3 linked regions of the Saccharomyces cerevisiae S288C genome follow. The main gene of each other region encodes a partner of the protein of the gene in region 2 in a complex. Each region holds a gene or a part of one and is shown on either strand. Other genes may lie near its edges. A codon is read from its position in the direction of its gene.

Region 1 (4,965 bases), on a different chromosome or scaffold from region 2:
TAATATCTCTCTTCTGTTGTAAAGCCAAAGGAATAGCATGTGATTGAATTAATGTTGGGTACTGAAATCCTATATTCTTAATAGCTTGTAATAAACGAGAGTCGAGATGAAATGCTTCGAACGTTGTAGAATCGTCAATATAAGCGCCTTCCACAGACTTTTTCTCATAGCTCATTTTTTTGATCTTTCGTTGCAGTTTTGGCTTAGTCTATTTCTTTTGTGAGATAAATTGTAGATTGACTATAACTATCAGCCAAAACAAAAGGCTCTTACTCAATGAAAGAAATTAGAAGAATCGAAATGAAATGAGATGAGATGAGATGAGATGAGATGGTCTAGAAGAGTTATTCTTTATGTTCGTGAAAAAAAATTTTTAAAATTTCATCTCTAGGTTTCATTACGTAAAGAGTGATTAAGGTAAACAATAAAAGGCAGTTCTAACCAGATTTTGGTTTGGTATTACTTCTATAAAGTAGTCTACTTAGTATGCGTAACTGTTTTTAACATAGCGGTGTGACCAAATTACCACCAATATTTAAGAGGCTTTCCACCCTACCTTTCAAAGGATTTGAATTACATTCTAAAATTTTCATATTGTTGAAGTCAATCTTAGCAGTGCTTTTACCTATGGTAACCACTCCAGTTATAGTTTCCTCTTTATTACTTGCATATTCATCTTTATTGAGAAATAAAGTAAAACAGTCACCAAACTGTTCTTTAAACAACCTTGAGATTTGCTTCACCCTCTCAACTTCATCAATCTTACCTTGTGCATTAGACTGCACATTGTTATGATCATGATCATCACAAGAATGACTCGAAAGCTTGACACTGGCGGGAGCTGAATCCACATTCATAAGTATAGCAATAATGGAGTCTGCTACAGTGTCATTCATTAAATCTTGAGTCCATTCCACAACGGCTAGAGTATTAACAATAGTTAACTTAATATCACCCATTATCTGTAGAATCAATTTACCTGTATTGGTCAGATTGTCTTTTGACTCTTCTTTAACCTTTGGTTCTTGATTTGTTACTCTATCATCATCTTGAAGAACTTCAGCCTCTCCAAACATTTGTAAAATGTGCCAGTAAATTAGCTCCTTTTTACAATTTACACGAACTGACTGGCGCTCTCTTAATATCGTTGTAGAAAGATCGGGATGGTGCTCTCTTAAATCAGACAAAGAAAGGAAGTCTAATTCGAAATTTTTGTCATCTGAAACTAGAATCCCAGAAACGACTATGTCTTTGTGTTCCTCTTCATCAACCAAACCTTTTTCTGCTTGAGAATCCAAGTTGTCTTCGTTTTCTTCCTTTATAGGTTCAATTTTAGCCGCAATTTCTTCCTTTATCTCTACGTTTTCTTCTTTATATATTTCGTTCACAATATTTCCCACAGCTTTTGCAACCTTGACACCTTGAAATTCAAGATCTACTTCAACACAGTTTCTAGGATTAAAAACATGGACTTCATTATCTGTACCCTTTAAAGACGCGAAATTGGATAACAATGCAGATTTCAAACGGCCCATGGGATTGGCTTCTCCATGAACAAGGATGATATTTGGCGCACTAATCTTTTCAATAAATTCTAAATTTTCCTGGAAGTCAACGTGTGCGGCAAAGGAGATTTCTTCAACTTGACAACGTCTTGGAATGGTTATTTCCGGATTATTTATGGAAGGTATTGTATCTGGCTCAAGCATAATAAATTTCGCCATTGTTCCTTCGATGGAGTAACCGGTGATTAGTACTAGATTTTTATCTTCAGGGCACCACCTTTCAAGTAAATCTCTTGATAACCCACTTTGCAGCATACCTGGTGAGGCCAACATCACACTGGGACCAAAATCTTGGAAATCCTCCAAGTTTCTAAGATAAGATATATTTTTGAATATGAAGGGATTAGTCTGAGAGTCTCTAAATTTTTTTCTAATGTCATCATTCATCATATTTACATAGGTTTGAAAAACGCTCATACATTTTTTTGCCAAATTTGATGCATAAAATATTGGGACTTGTCCACCACCGAGTTCATCAGCATGTTGAGACCAGTACTCATCCAGTATAAGCATGATTTCTTGAGCTCTCCCTAAAGCAAAAACAGGCAGTAGAACACGGCCTCCTCTCATCACTGTGGAATGGATTAGTTGGGTTAGCTTCCTTTCTCTATTTAAACGGGGCTCGTGAGTAGCGGTACCAAAGGTAGATTCCACAATTAATACGTTGGATGAAAGTGGAGGCACCTCAGCAGAATTTAAGTGACGATCTACTTCTCTCGAATAGTCACCTGTGAATAACACCCTAAGGCCAGCAATCTCTATTTGAAACATCGCTGCACCCAATACATGGCCTGCATGGAATGCCGTAAATTTGATACCATTGACGTCAACAGTAGAATGATAGTCCACCGTTTCAATTTTATCGAAAGAATCAACTAAATCCTCATCTGAGAATAGACCTTCGTCTTTAGTCCCCATAGAGGAGGATGAAGAACCTATACTAGTAACTCTTACAAAATCTCGCAGTAGCCATCTGTAAATGGCTTTGGTTGGATGTGTCATGAAAACTCTGCCTTGAAAGTTAGTCCGTTGCATCACATACGGAAGTGAAGCGGCATGGTCTAAATGGAAATGTGATATCAGTAAGATATCGACTTTGGAAAGATCAAATTCATCGTAAAAAGGTAATGAAGCTAATCCTTGATATGCCGGATGAATTCCTGCGTCGAGCATCACTGTTTTACCTTTATATTGCAATATATGACATGATCGTCCAACTTCGTTACTTCCTCCCAATGAAAAAAATTTGAATGTTGTTGTATTTGTTCGCTCCATATATGCGTATACTTATTAATGTTAACTTATTATGTTACTTTTTATTTCCTCAATGGACAAAATTCAATTGATAATACAATGTTTCTTTTGTGCTGTAACTTTTGAAGTACTGAAAACAAGGGTAAAAGAAATAAACGCTTATACCCGTGAACATTTTGAACCTATTAGATGTGATCTCAATATGTATTGCGCTGAAGCAGTAGAAGTTGTTAAAGATCCGCTAGTTTTTCATAATTTTCGGCCAGAATAACTGCTTACCCGTATTTATTTGCAAACACGCTACTTAGTCTTTTGGAGAGGACTTTATACAGGAAAGAAAGAGTTTTATTGATTTTAAAAACAATATAAATGAAAGAAAAAAATGTGTTTTAGATTAGGCTTATAAGATATGACCCATATCATAATTAAAAAAAGCGATTTAGTTGTTCTTTTAAAAAAAAAGAGAAAAAAAAAAAAAAAAAAAAAAGGAATGAGTTTGTACATACTATTATATTAATGTAGTATCACGTTAAAAAGCCGTAGTCATCATTAATCGTCCAAAAGTCTTCTACCGGACCAGATGTCATCATGTTATCCCAGTTAGAACGCTTTTTCCTGATGTCTGCGTTAGTTACTGTAGGAATAACATTGTCGAAATGCAGATTTGCGCTAGTGTTTGCTTCCACCTGTGTTTTAGGTCCATTCTTCTCTGTTTCGTCAAGATTATATTGTACACCTTCCTGATTGGACATCATGAACAAATTTCTGTTATACGAAGGGTCATTCTGCGTCTGTTGAAAATTATTAGCGGTTACATTGTTTTCAGAACACATATTTTGTTGTTGATGTTGTTGCTGCTGTTTGTCCATGGACAGAGATGAAGGCTCTTGACTCTGGGGAAATATTGTTTGTAGTATGGACTTGCTATTCAAAGCATCTAGAACGGAGTTATTGGTCCAGGTGGAAATATTGTTGATCATGTCATGAGCACCGTTGCTGAAAAGTATATCGCCCGAAGAAGAGCCATTTCGAGCTTGTTTGACACTGACCGGAATTGAATTGCTAGTAAATGACGCTGGTATCGAGGAGATAATATTATTGCCATAATCTGCTCTTAGGGGTGATGTACTGAAATTTGATTCTTCGACATCTCTTAATTGCTTATTTTCACTTGTATGGTTAGAGAATATTGCAGATTGTAGAGGATTACTGTTGATCATACCATTGTTTAATTGATTCGTAAAATTGCTTTCTGAGAATCTTTGTGGAGAAGTAATATGTTGTTGTGGCTGCTCCCGCTGTTGTTGCGGCAGTGGTCGTGATACATGCTGTTGCGGTAGCATATTGGAAGTTTGAGGATATGGAGTTGGGCTTTGCGTCATCGCTATTGGAATCGGATCCGAATGCGAAGAGGCTGTAGATATGCTAGAAGATTTTGAAGGACTTCTATTGGTCATAGTATCGGTGTTCAGGGACGATAGATACGCTTGTAAATTGTGCTGAGCTAGTTGCTGTTGTAGAAAGGCCTGCTGTTGAAATACTTGCCAATCAAACTCTGTTTGGTTGGTTGGTTTCTTGACGATATATTGGTCTTGAATAGGCCTTTCTACATCATTTTCCATAGTTACGTTGTTGTTACGAACATACTGGCTGTTGTTGCCATTATTGCAGCTGTTGTTGGTAGTGCTTCTGCTATTACTTTCATTATCATTATTATTAACATTATTATTATTATTACTATTATTATTATTATTGTTATTATTATTATTATTATCATTATTATTGTTGTGATTATTGTTGTGTTCTCTGTTGACGCTGCTGATGGTCATACCATTGTTATCATTGTTTACATTGATTTTCAGGTTTTTTTCTTGGGAAGAAGGAAACGATAATGTCGACGATGATGACGAAGAAGAAGATGATGACGAAGAAGATGTTGTATAAGACATTGAAGAATTTGAAATACGTGACCTGTCATCCATTTTGGTTAATAGGTGAGCTAAACTTTTGGGTACAGAGGTCTTTTCTAAAACACCTTGCTTCTTCTTGAATTTCTCTTGTTCAGCCAAATCCACTTGTGAATTTTCCACAAAACCGGCGTGCTCTTCAGCTTGTCCTTTACCAAATATTCTAGCCACAGCAGGCG
Region 2 (5,087 bases):
GAATGCTGAAAACACCAGTTAAGGATGTTTCAATTGCGCTAGCTGCAAGCATTAAAGGATATGAGGCAAGTTTCAGCGATACTGACTCTCGTCCAGAGGGCATGAATAATAGTGATGCCATCACTTTGAACATGTTCGACGATTTCGAAGAAGATAAAATGACCCCTTCCACTCCAGTTCGTAGTATAAGTCCAATAAAACGGCATGTTAGCAGTCCTTTCAAGGTCGTGAAAGCTGGAAACAAACAAGAGAATAATGAAATAAACATTAAGGCTGAAGAGGAAATAGAGCCAATGACGCAGCAAGAAACCGATGGTTTGAAACAAGATATTCCTCCACTGCTAGCGCAGACAAAAGATAACGTCGAAGCAAAAGAAGAAACGATAACTCAACTTGAAGAACCACAAGACGTTGAACAAGAATTTCCGGATATGGGAACACTTTATTTAAGTATAAAGGCTATTTCCACGCTTGCATTATATGGAACTAAGAGTCATAGAGCAACATATGCTATTGTTTTTGACAATGGGGAAAATGTCGTTCAGACACCCTGGGAGTCGCTTCCGTATGACGGTAACATCAGGATCAATAAGGAATTTGAATTGCCCATAGATTTTAAAGGAAAAGCCGAAACATCCTCCGCTTCTTCTGAAAGAGATAGCTACAAAAAATGTGTTATCACATTAAAATGTAAATATGAAAAACCTCGACATGAATTGGTCGAAATAGTAGACAAGGTGCCGGTGGGTAAGAGTTTTTTTGGAAAGACAAAGTATAAATTTGAAAAGAAGTATGTACAGAAAAAACCTAAACAAGATGAGTGGGATTATCTATTTGCACAAGACGGTTCATTTGCTCGTTGTGAAATTGAAATTAATGAAGAGTTTTTGAAAAACGTGGCATTTAATACCAGTCATATGCATTACAATATGATTAACAAGTGGAGTAGAATCGCAGACAAAATTCACGGCTCAAAAAGGCTGTACGAGTTACCACGCAAGGCGCCTCACAAAGTGGCTTCGTTGGATGTGGAAGCATGTTTCTTAGAAAGAACTTCTGCCTTTGAACAATTTCCCAAACAATTTTCATTGGTCAATAAGATTGTTTCCAAATACAAGTTGCAACAAAATATCTATAAAGAAGGGTATTTATTGCAGGATGGTGGTGATCTGAAAGGAAAGATAGAAAACAGGTTTTTCAAACTGCACGGCTCGCAACTTTCTGGTTATCATGAAATCTCTAGAAAGGCTAAGATCGATATTAATCTGTTGAAAGTCACGAAAGTCCTACGTAATGAAGACATCCAGGCGGATAATGGAGGGCAAAGGAATTTTACAGATTGGGTACTCTTTAATGAATGCTTCCAGCTAGTATTTGACGATGGTGAAAGAATTACTTTCAACGCGGAATGCTCTAATGAGGAAAAAAGTGATTGGTACAATAAGCTCCAGGAAGTTGTTGAGTTGAATGTTTTCCATCAACCCTGGGTGAAAAAGTATTGTGAAAAGTTAGCTGAGGAGGAAAAGACTCGAACAACCGGTCATAATTTGAAGCAAGATTTTAATTAGAAGGTGATTAATGGAATGAAAACAGCATATAATCTGATGACTGAGAGGTCTTTAGTTTAAAGATTAATTAAATACACATAATAAGAGTAAATACGTGAATCATGGACGATATATTTTTATTTCAATTTCACAGATCCCCATTCATTTCGAATTTTGATTTTGATTTTGATTAGGCTGTTGGTTCATGGGTGGCATCATACCTGGCATGGGGAATGGTGGAAAGCTACCAAACATAGGTAAGGGTGGGAAGCTTGGATGCATTGGTGGAGCGGGAGGGTTTGGTGTTCCAGACATACTATTACCCATATTACTGTTCAGATTAGACATATTTGCATTGTTTACGTTGTTGTTGTTATCAATTATATTACCGAGGTTTGAGTCTGTATCATTCGCGGAATTCAACTTCCCTTGCTGTTGGAGGGATAATAGGCCCATTAGGATCCTCCTAGGATTATAATCTTGTTGTAGTTTTTCCTGTCTATGTAAATACTCCATCCAGGTAAATTCGTTAAAACCGTAATTGAAATAATCACTTAAGTTGGCCCCCGGTTGCCTCCAGGGTTTCTCCTTTAATACTTCAGGATCTATTGTCGTTATGCCAACACTATCAAAGATTCCCTCTTTATCCAGGTCTATAGAACCAGTCATTGCTTTCGGTACATTTCCATCGCTCTCTGTAGCTTTTACGGTCGTTGCCGTTACACCTTGATTTGCTTCTCCTTCTGTTATTAGTCTTTCATCTGATGTCTTTGTGATGGTATTGGATACATCTGTAGCTACGCTAATTACGTCTTTGCTTGAAGATGTCGCTGCGGTAGAATAAGAATCGAGTAGTTTTGCATCTAACCTAGTAGGGTCAGGACCCAGACTTATGATAACCTCTAGGTCAGAATCACTATCGTCATCTGAGGAGTCAGAGTAGATATCTTCATCAGAACGATCATCTCTGGCAGTAGCTGGAGTTTCTTCCACGGGAGAGTCGAATTTTTGCCTTTTAACTATATCAGGATTACTGGACGCACCTGCGTCTGCTTCATCATCTCTTGATCGTTTAGATGAAGGTAGTGCTAATTCGGAGTCGGAACCATACAAGAACTTGTCGTCTTCGTCTTCACTGGAGCTCATTTAGAGAAATGCTAATAATTTTAGTGTAGGCAAAAGGAATAAGAATGCAAAGCACGATGGTGCGGTTTAACAAAGTGAATTTGGTGATGTACTCTCTCAAGATTTATGTCGCATTATTCGCTACGAAGGTTTTTCAAGATTAAAACGAATCTCCTTTCCCATCGCGACATACGATAAGGCTAATAACGCTACGGTATTATGTCATGGAGCTTGAGACATTGAATACATATATATACCTATATATAATATATATATATGCAAATACACAAATTCTTAGCAATTTGAGTGAGACAATGGAAATAAAGAAATGAGTGTGAATGGATATATTTTGAGGGAAGGGGGAAGATTGTAGTACTTTTCGAGAATTAAGAATAGGTTTTACTAAACTTGTAGGATATTTCTTGAAACCTGACCTTGTCATAATAATCTTGATCATTAGAACTGCTGAAGGAGTAAGCCGCAGCATATCTTGACAGTTTGGAGTTCAACTTTTTTAGGAATTCTAACTCTTTTGAATTTAATTTTTGTAGTGATGGCGGTGGTGATTTTTCAACGTCGAAGGCAATTTCTAATGGGTAATAGTAGGAGGGCACCTGAGGTTCATCTATAAATGGATCTGCCTCATATACATTATCGGAGGCGTTGTTATTATTGCTGGTATTATTATAGTAATTACAATTAGTGCTTTTATGGTTGCTATAGTGACGATTATTAAAGGAATGTATGTTATCAGTATGTGGTGGAAACTGATCTTGATATTGGGAGTATGAATCCGTGTTTTTTGAATTTATTGATTCATGAATATTTGTGGGTTTTGAATAGGTATAATTAGTGGTATATGGGTAGAAGTCTTGTGTGTATGGGAATTCATTGAATTCAAAATTTTCTTGGAATATTTTGATATCTTTTTGTGCATTTGTATTAGTTTCATATTTTATTGTGTCACTAATATCGATATCATCTCCATTTCTGTTGCTCTTTTGAAAGTTATCATGGTTATTGAATGATGAGTGGAACGTAGATGCGGATTCATCATTAGAAAAAAGAGATGATAATGAAGAGGATCTGGTACTTTCAGAGCTCTTTTTTCCTCTTTCAGGACCAGTTGCCATTGTGCAGTCCTTCGTAGTTTTCGTTTCCTTGGAAATAGGCTGAGAATCAATATTTTCCAAATTCAGAAACTCTTCATTGAACAATATTTGAGGATTAATTAAATGAATTGGTTGTGTATGAACCAAGTTCTGCAGCTGAGATGAGGCAATTTTGTCAGACTTTTCAAAATGCCAACTTCTAGGGGAAATTGTAGATCCAAAAGAAAAACAAGGACGGTCTTCTTGATCGGTGGTTGTGTCATAATAAATGTTAGGTTGTTGTTGCTGTTCAAAAGGAAAGAGGAAGAAACCATCTTCTAAGGCAGCGTGAAGTTTTCCATGCATATCCGCTTGCATTTTGTTTGTGGGGAGAGGAATAGAAAAGCTTTTCTTTTATTATTTTTTTCCTTTTTCACCAGTAATGGGTGCCAGTAGGAATTTGTTTCTCTGTAGGTGACTAATGACAGTAGTATATTATGCTTTTAATCTTTAACAATACTACTGGTCGATTTATAATATGATAATGTAAAATAAATCGTAATAGGATAGTCGATGTTTGTATCTACTTCACGAAACAGTTATGGTATACGGTAGTTTAAATATCTGAAGAAGCAAAAATACCGAACTACAAGGGAAGCATTTTGAGAAAAATATTAAGATCAAAAGATAATTAATTTACCTTAAATACATAAAAGAGGAAAAGTAATATACAAGGTAAACAACAGGCAAGGAACAAGATCAAAAACGTCCGACCCCAATTTAGTAGTAAATTACAGTAAGAGAAAAAGGTATTGGGGCTGATACATATTAATTGTGCGTTGTTGTTGTTGTTTAATTTTAGATTGGCTATTATGAGTACACACAAAACGTTGTAAACGCAATCACCCATGGATAAGCGCTCCCTTTAAAATGCACTACGAAATCATTGATCTACTAACTTTAAACCGGACTTAAACCATCAAAGGGTGCTCTAGATCTCATCGATGTATTCTGATGCAGCCAAAATTGCGCAATCAATCACGTTTCCCGATATAGAAAACTAATTGGCTGTGTTACGTGGCTGGGGGTTCTGTAATTCCTTTCTTCCCCGGTGAATCATCAAGATTGGGCTAAGCGCCTTTGATCCTTTCCCTCGAAGACGGAAATGGGGCCGCAGGATAAAAAATGGTGTGTCTGTAATTCCGATTTTTTGCTTATGTAATCATGTAACTTTCTTCTAGTCCCTTTGCAGACATGCATGACACTTCCTTACCCGAATAGTGAGTTAGATCTGTGTTAGGATGCAGGATGGGCAGTTCAAAGG
Region 3 (4,271 bases), on a different chromosome or scaffold from region 2:
AACTGGATTTGCTCAACCGGTGCGAATCAGATCCTACGGTCAGTTTTTTGGAGCCCATTGTAACTTCTTTTAGTATATCTGTGTCAATAAAGGTACAGATTGCATGAACTCACACTTCATGTAACTGTCAGACGTAATTCTCGAGATAAACGTCTCGTTGAAGCTTGTTTTGTTATATTTGTCAATCCTGGGTCCCCTATTCCGTCAGAAAAAAAAAAGCCTAAATATCTGGCCGAAACTCGGAAAGGAAAAGGTTCCGTTCCTTTCCCAGCCAATTTAACTATGCCTTCAAAGGTATCATCCTGACATCCAGCTTGTAACACAAAATTCTCACCTAATGGTAAAATGTCGCTACACGCGAAAGAGCATATGTAGAGAGAATCTCGTAAACGTTTTACTGCTTCGTAAAAAAAGTACTTTGATTCAAAAAAAAGGGTACAAATTTGTTTATGACTGATTAACCTATATTAATAAACTATTCAACTATAAATAGGAATGTCTTAGTTTACGTCAACAGCTGCGGTTGTGCCATTGATGTTGTCACCTGAAGCAGCATCTGATTTAGATCTCTTCACGGTTTCATGTCTAGCATCTAAATTCTTCCTTTTACTCTTCTTTGATGGTCTCTTTTCATTTTCATCGAAAACTTCATCTGGCAAATCGTAACCCTTTACGAAGCGGAGGGCTAGATTGAATACTTTGTGGTCACCATAATCCTCATTGAAACTTCGACATAAATTCACAAATTCAGTGCAGGGAATGTGAATGTCAACTTTTTCCTTTTTGTTTTCAATATTAAAGTCAAGGCCTATGTACATGGTGCTTAAATATGCCTTTGGTGCATCTTTAATACTTTCTTCCTCTTTATTTTCATCTGTTACCAGTTTAAGGGCGTTCAGTGCTGTCTCAGTTTTATGACTACCGTATTTGTCTTGAATCATTTCATAGTCATCCTCGGTTGGACAACAATAACTACTTTCAAAGGGTTTGGTGAAAGGATGTGCAATTTTTATTCCAGCTAACACCTCCAGTTTCATAACTAGAAGCCTTACCTTACTTTCAACAAGACCACTCCATTTTAAATGCTGCTCGTCACTGCCCCTTGTATATGCAGTAATTTCTAAATAGAACTTGTATCGAAAGAAAAAATCGTTTTTTTCGAATAAATTGGCCCAGGACTTCTTATTGGAAAAAATATCATTCGTAATTTGAACGCCTCTTACGAATTCCTGTAAAATGACTTTTTTAGTAGATTCCGTGATGTTATGGGTAGCACACATTGATGGATAAGCTGGTGTAATGACGGGCATTCTATGAGACCTGTCTTGGGCATATATCTTTGGATTCCATACACGAACTTGTAACGGGCCATCCTCAATTGGTTTCAAGATAACAGGTTGTGGCCAATTCCATTCCGACAAAATGATGAAAAATCTGTTCAATATAACTGCGCTACAGGCGTTAGGGTATAGTTGACAAATTCTAGCCACTAGCATGGCCCAAGCCACACCACCAGGAAAACCAAAAATATTAGCATAAACAGCCCTTCTTTGGGCCCATAGCTTAATAGCTCTTAAAGCGATTCTGAAAACATTCGGCTTTGGTACCAGTTCTAATATCTCATCTGTTACTCTGGTACCATTCAAAGCTCTCAAGTCCTTCTCGTCTAGATTTCGCAGTAGATTTTTATCTGATAAAGTCAAGGATAAAGGCACTTGAGGTTGGTCTAGACGTGCACAGATTAAATCGATAGAAATACCACTGAACTTTATCTTGATAATCGGGACAAACGCATCAGGTACAGGTGCAATTTCATCCAGTTCCTTCCTCTCTCTCAGTAGTGAATCAAATACCGTAAAAAAATCTTCCCGAGTTACATGTTTTGGAACAACTACCAAAGTATCGATATCACTACCAGGCCCATGGACTCCTAGTCTATAGGACCCATACGTAAAAATCTTCCCACCAGCATCCCTTGCCATCCCGTCTGACATATTTTTCTTCTTCGATACTTCATAAACAAATCTTTGTGCCAATTCCTGCAATATTTTCAACACTTGTACCCTATTGGCAGTTTCTTGCTCTGTTTCGAACGATCCTTCCTTTTTCAGTTCTTGGATTAAACTATCATTTAATTTATTTTCTGCTGCTGTGGCGCCCACGGTGGAAACAGGTCCAGTAATACCAAAAACCTTTTGAGAGCTCATTATTTGTCTAAAAAAAGTTTATGCGTTAAATATTTTGCTAATTCTAGGCCTCTTTTGATTCAAAAAAGACCGTTTAAAGACTTGCTCACAGTGAAATTATTTAGCTAGTTTAGTGTCTTTAAACTTTTGCTAAAACGTTTCACTTGAAAAATCGTTCTAATATCGTCCAGAGGATAGTATGATAGCTTCAGAGAATTCGATAGATACTTGAATCCTCTAATAGTCGAAAAATGCTCGAGGGTAAACCACTTGTGCGCTTGGACTGGCCTAGTTTCCAAAACCAATGTTCTAATGGATTGATTTCTTCCCCAAACATTATTAAGTGGCCGGGTCACCCAAAGACTTGGGCGCCGTTGATTCGCGTCGCTTTGCCATCAAGAGAACAACATATCTTCCAAGACAGACCGAGATAATTCATCTATTTACTCCTAAAAAAGAATTAGAGAGGCCTTTTATAGCACCAAAATAAGGACCGTACGAAAACTGCACATTTTATATTATCAGATATCATGGATGAGCATTTAATTTCTACTATTAACAAGCTTCAGGACGCTTTGGCGCCCTTAGGAGGAGGATCTCAATCTCCTATTGATTTACCACAGATCACTGTTGTCGGTTCCCAGTCGTCAGGAAAGTCGTCCGTTTTGGAGAACATTGTTGGTAGGGATTTCTTGCCAAGAGGTACTGGTATTGTCACCAGGAGACCTTTAGTGTTACAATTGATTAATAGGAGACCAAAAAAGTCAGAACATGCTAAAGTAAACCAAACTGCTAATGAATTGATTGACTTGAACATCAACGATGATGACAAGAAAAAGGATGAATCAGGAAAGCACCAGAACGAGGGACAATCTGAAGACAATAAAGAGGAATGGGGTGAATTTTTGCATTTACCTGGTAAGAAGTTTTATAATTTTGACGAAATTAGAAAGGAAATCGTCAAAGAAACTGACAAAGTGACAGGTGCCAATTCAGGTATTTCTTCTGTGCCCATTAACTTGAGAATTTATTCTCCGCATGTTCTTACTTTGACGTTAGTGGATTTGCCTGGGTTGACGAAGGTTCCCGTAGGTGACCAACCTCCTGATATTGAAAGACAAATTAAGGACATGTTGTTAAAGTATATTTCGAAACCAAACGCTATCATATTATCTGTTAATGCCGCTAACACCGATTTAGCCAACAGCGATGGTTTGAAGCTGGCTAGAGAGGTCGATCCAGAAGGAACGAGAACTATTGGTGTCTTGACAAAAGTCGATTTGATGGATCAAGGTACAGATGTCATAGATATTTTGGCTGGAAGAGTCATTCCTTTGAGATATGGTTATATCCCAGTTATCAATAGAGGTCAAAAGGATATTGAACACAAAAAAACAATCAGAGAAGCCCTTGAAAACGAAAGAAAATTTTTTGAGAACCATCCCTCTTACAGTTCTAAAGCTCATTACTGTGGTACACCATATTTGGCTAAAAAGTTAAACTCAATCTTATTACACCACATTAGGCAAACTCTGCCAGAAATCAAAGCGAAAATCGAAGCCACATTGAAAAAATATCAAAACGAACTTATAAACTTGGGCCCAGAAACTATGGATTCAGCTAGTTCGGTTGTTTTGAGCATGATTACTGATTTTTCCAATGAATATGCCGGTATCTTGGACGGTGAGGCGAAGGAGCTTTCCAGTCAGGAACTTTCTGGTGGTGCTAGAATTTCTTACGTATTCCATGAAACTTTCAAAAATGGTGTAGACTCTTTGGATCCATTCGACCAGATCAAAGATTCTGATATCAGAACCATTATGTACAATAGTTCAGGTTCTGCCCCATCTTTGTTTGTCGGTACCGAAGCTTTTGAAGTTTTAGTTAAACAGCAAATTAGAAGATTTGAAGAACCATCTCTACGTTTAGTTACTCTGGTGTTTGATGAACTTGTTCGTATGCTAAAACAGATTATTTCACAACCAAAGTACTCAAGGTATCCTGCTCTAAGAGAAGCGATTTCTAATCAGTTCATTCAGTTCTTAAAGGATGCTACTATTCCTACGAATGAGTTTGTTGTCGATA

What was found. The genes of interacting proteins can lie anywhere in the genome.
Region 1: FIP1 (region 2) and YSH1 share a complex: the UniProt entries of both Saccharomyces cerevisiae proteins name them as parts of the cleavage and polyadenylation factor (CPF) complex.
Region 3: the proteins of FIP1 (region 2) and PAP1 are in contact, whole or in part, in a crystal structure (PDB 3C66), measured with the Saccharomyces cerevisiae proteins. Residues at the interface, in NP_012626.1 of Saccharomyces cerevisiae: Leu81 (codon at 2,453), Glu82 (codon at 2,450), Val83 (codon at 2,447), Ile84 (codon at 2,444), Ile85 (codon at 2,441), Ser86 (codon at 2,438), Leu87 (codon at 2,435), Thr92 (codon at 2,420), Arg93 (codon at 2,417), Leu94 (codon at 2,414), Asp95 (codon at 2,411), Ala96 (codon at 2,408), Lys97 (codon at 2,405), Leu99 (codon at 2,399); in NP_012927.3 of Saccharomyces cerevisiae: Phe360 (codon at 1,130), Leu362 (codon at 1,124), Gln425 (codon at 935), Asp426 (codon at 932), Tyr428 (codon at 926), Phe470 (codon at 800), Lys478 (codon at 776), Val479 (codon at 773), Asp480 (codon at 770), Ile481 (codon at 767), His482 (codon at 764), Cys485 (codon at 755), Thr486 (codon at 752), Val489 (codon at 743), Asn490 (codon at 740), His502 (codon at 704), Asn506 (codon at 692), Leu507 (codon at 689), Ala508 (codon at 686), Leu509 (codon at 683), Arg510 (codon at 680), Phe511 (codon at 677).

Annotation. Positions count from the first base shown.
Region 1 is NC_001144.5:696,656-701,620, forward strand, and holds YSH1 (cleavage polyadenylation factor subunit YSH1), read right to left. Parts: upstream 2,841-4,965; coding exon 501-2,840; downstream 1-500. Other genes in the region: DBP9 (ATP-dependent DNA/RNA helicase), read right to left, coding at 1-175; YLR278C (uncharacterized protein), read right to left, coding at 3,344-4,965. UniProt on the Saccharomyces cerevisiae protein: Component of the cleavage and polyadenylation factor (CPF) complex, which plays a key role in polyadenylation-dependent pre-mRNA 3'-end formation and cooperates with cleavage factors including the CFIA complex and NAB4/CFIB. Has endonuclease activity.
Region 2 is NC_001142.9:601,511-606,597, forward strand, and holds FIP1 (cleavage polyadenylation factor subunit FIP1), read right to left. Parts: upstream 2,694-5,087; coding exon 1,710-2,693; downstream 1-1,709. Other genes in the region: BUD4 (Bud4p), read left to right, coding at 1-1,568; transcription factor IME1, read right to left, coding at 3,059-4,141. UniProt on the Saccharomyces cerevisiae protein: Polymerase-regulating component of the cleavage and polyadenylation factor (CPF) complex, which plays a key role in polyadenylation-dependent pre-mRNA 3'-end formation and cooperates with cleavage factors including the CFIA complex and NAB4/CFIB.
Region 3 is NC_001143.9:441,168-445,438, reverse strand, and holds PAP1 (polynucleotide adenylyltransferase PAP1), read right to left. Parts: upstream 2,208-4,271; coding exon 501-2,207; downstream 1-500. Other genes in the region: oxysterol-binding protein OSH6, read right to left, coding at 1-58; dynamin-like GTPase VPS1, read left to right, coding at 2,717-4,271. UniProt on the Saccharomyces cerevisiae protein: Polymerase component of the cleavage and polyadenylation factor (CPF) complex, which plays a key role in polyadenylation-dependent pre-mRNA 3'-end formation and cooperates with cleavage factors including the CFIA complex and NAB4/CFIB.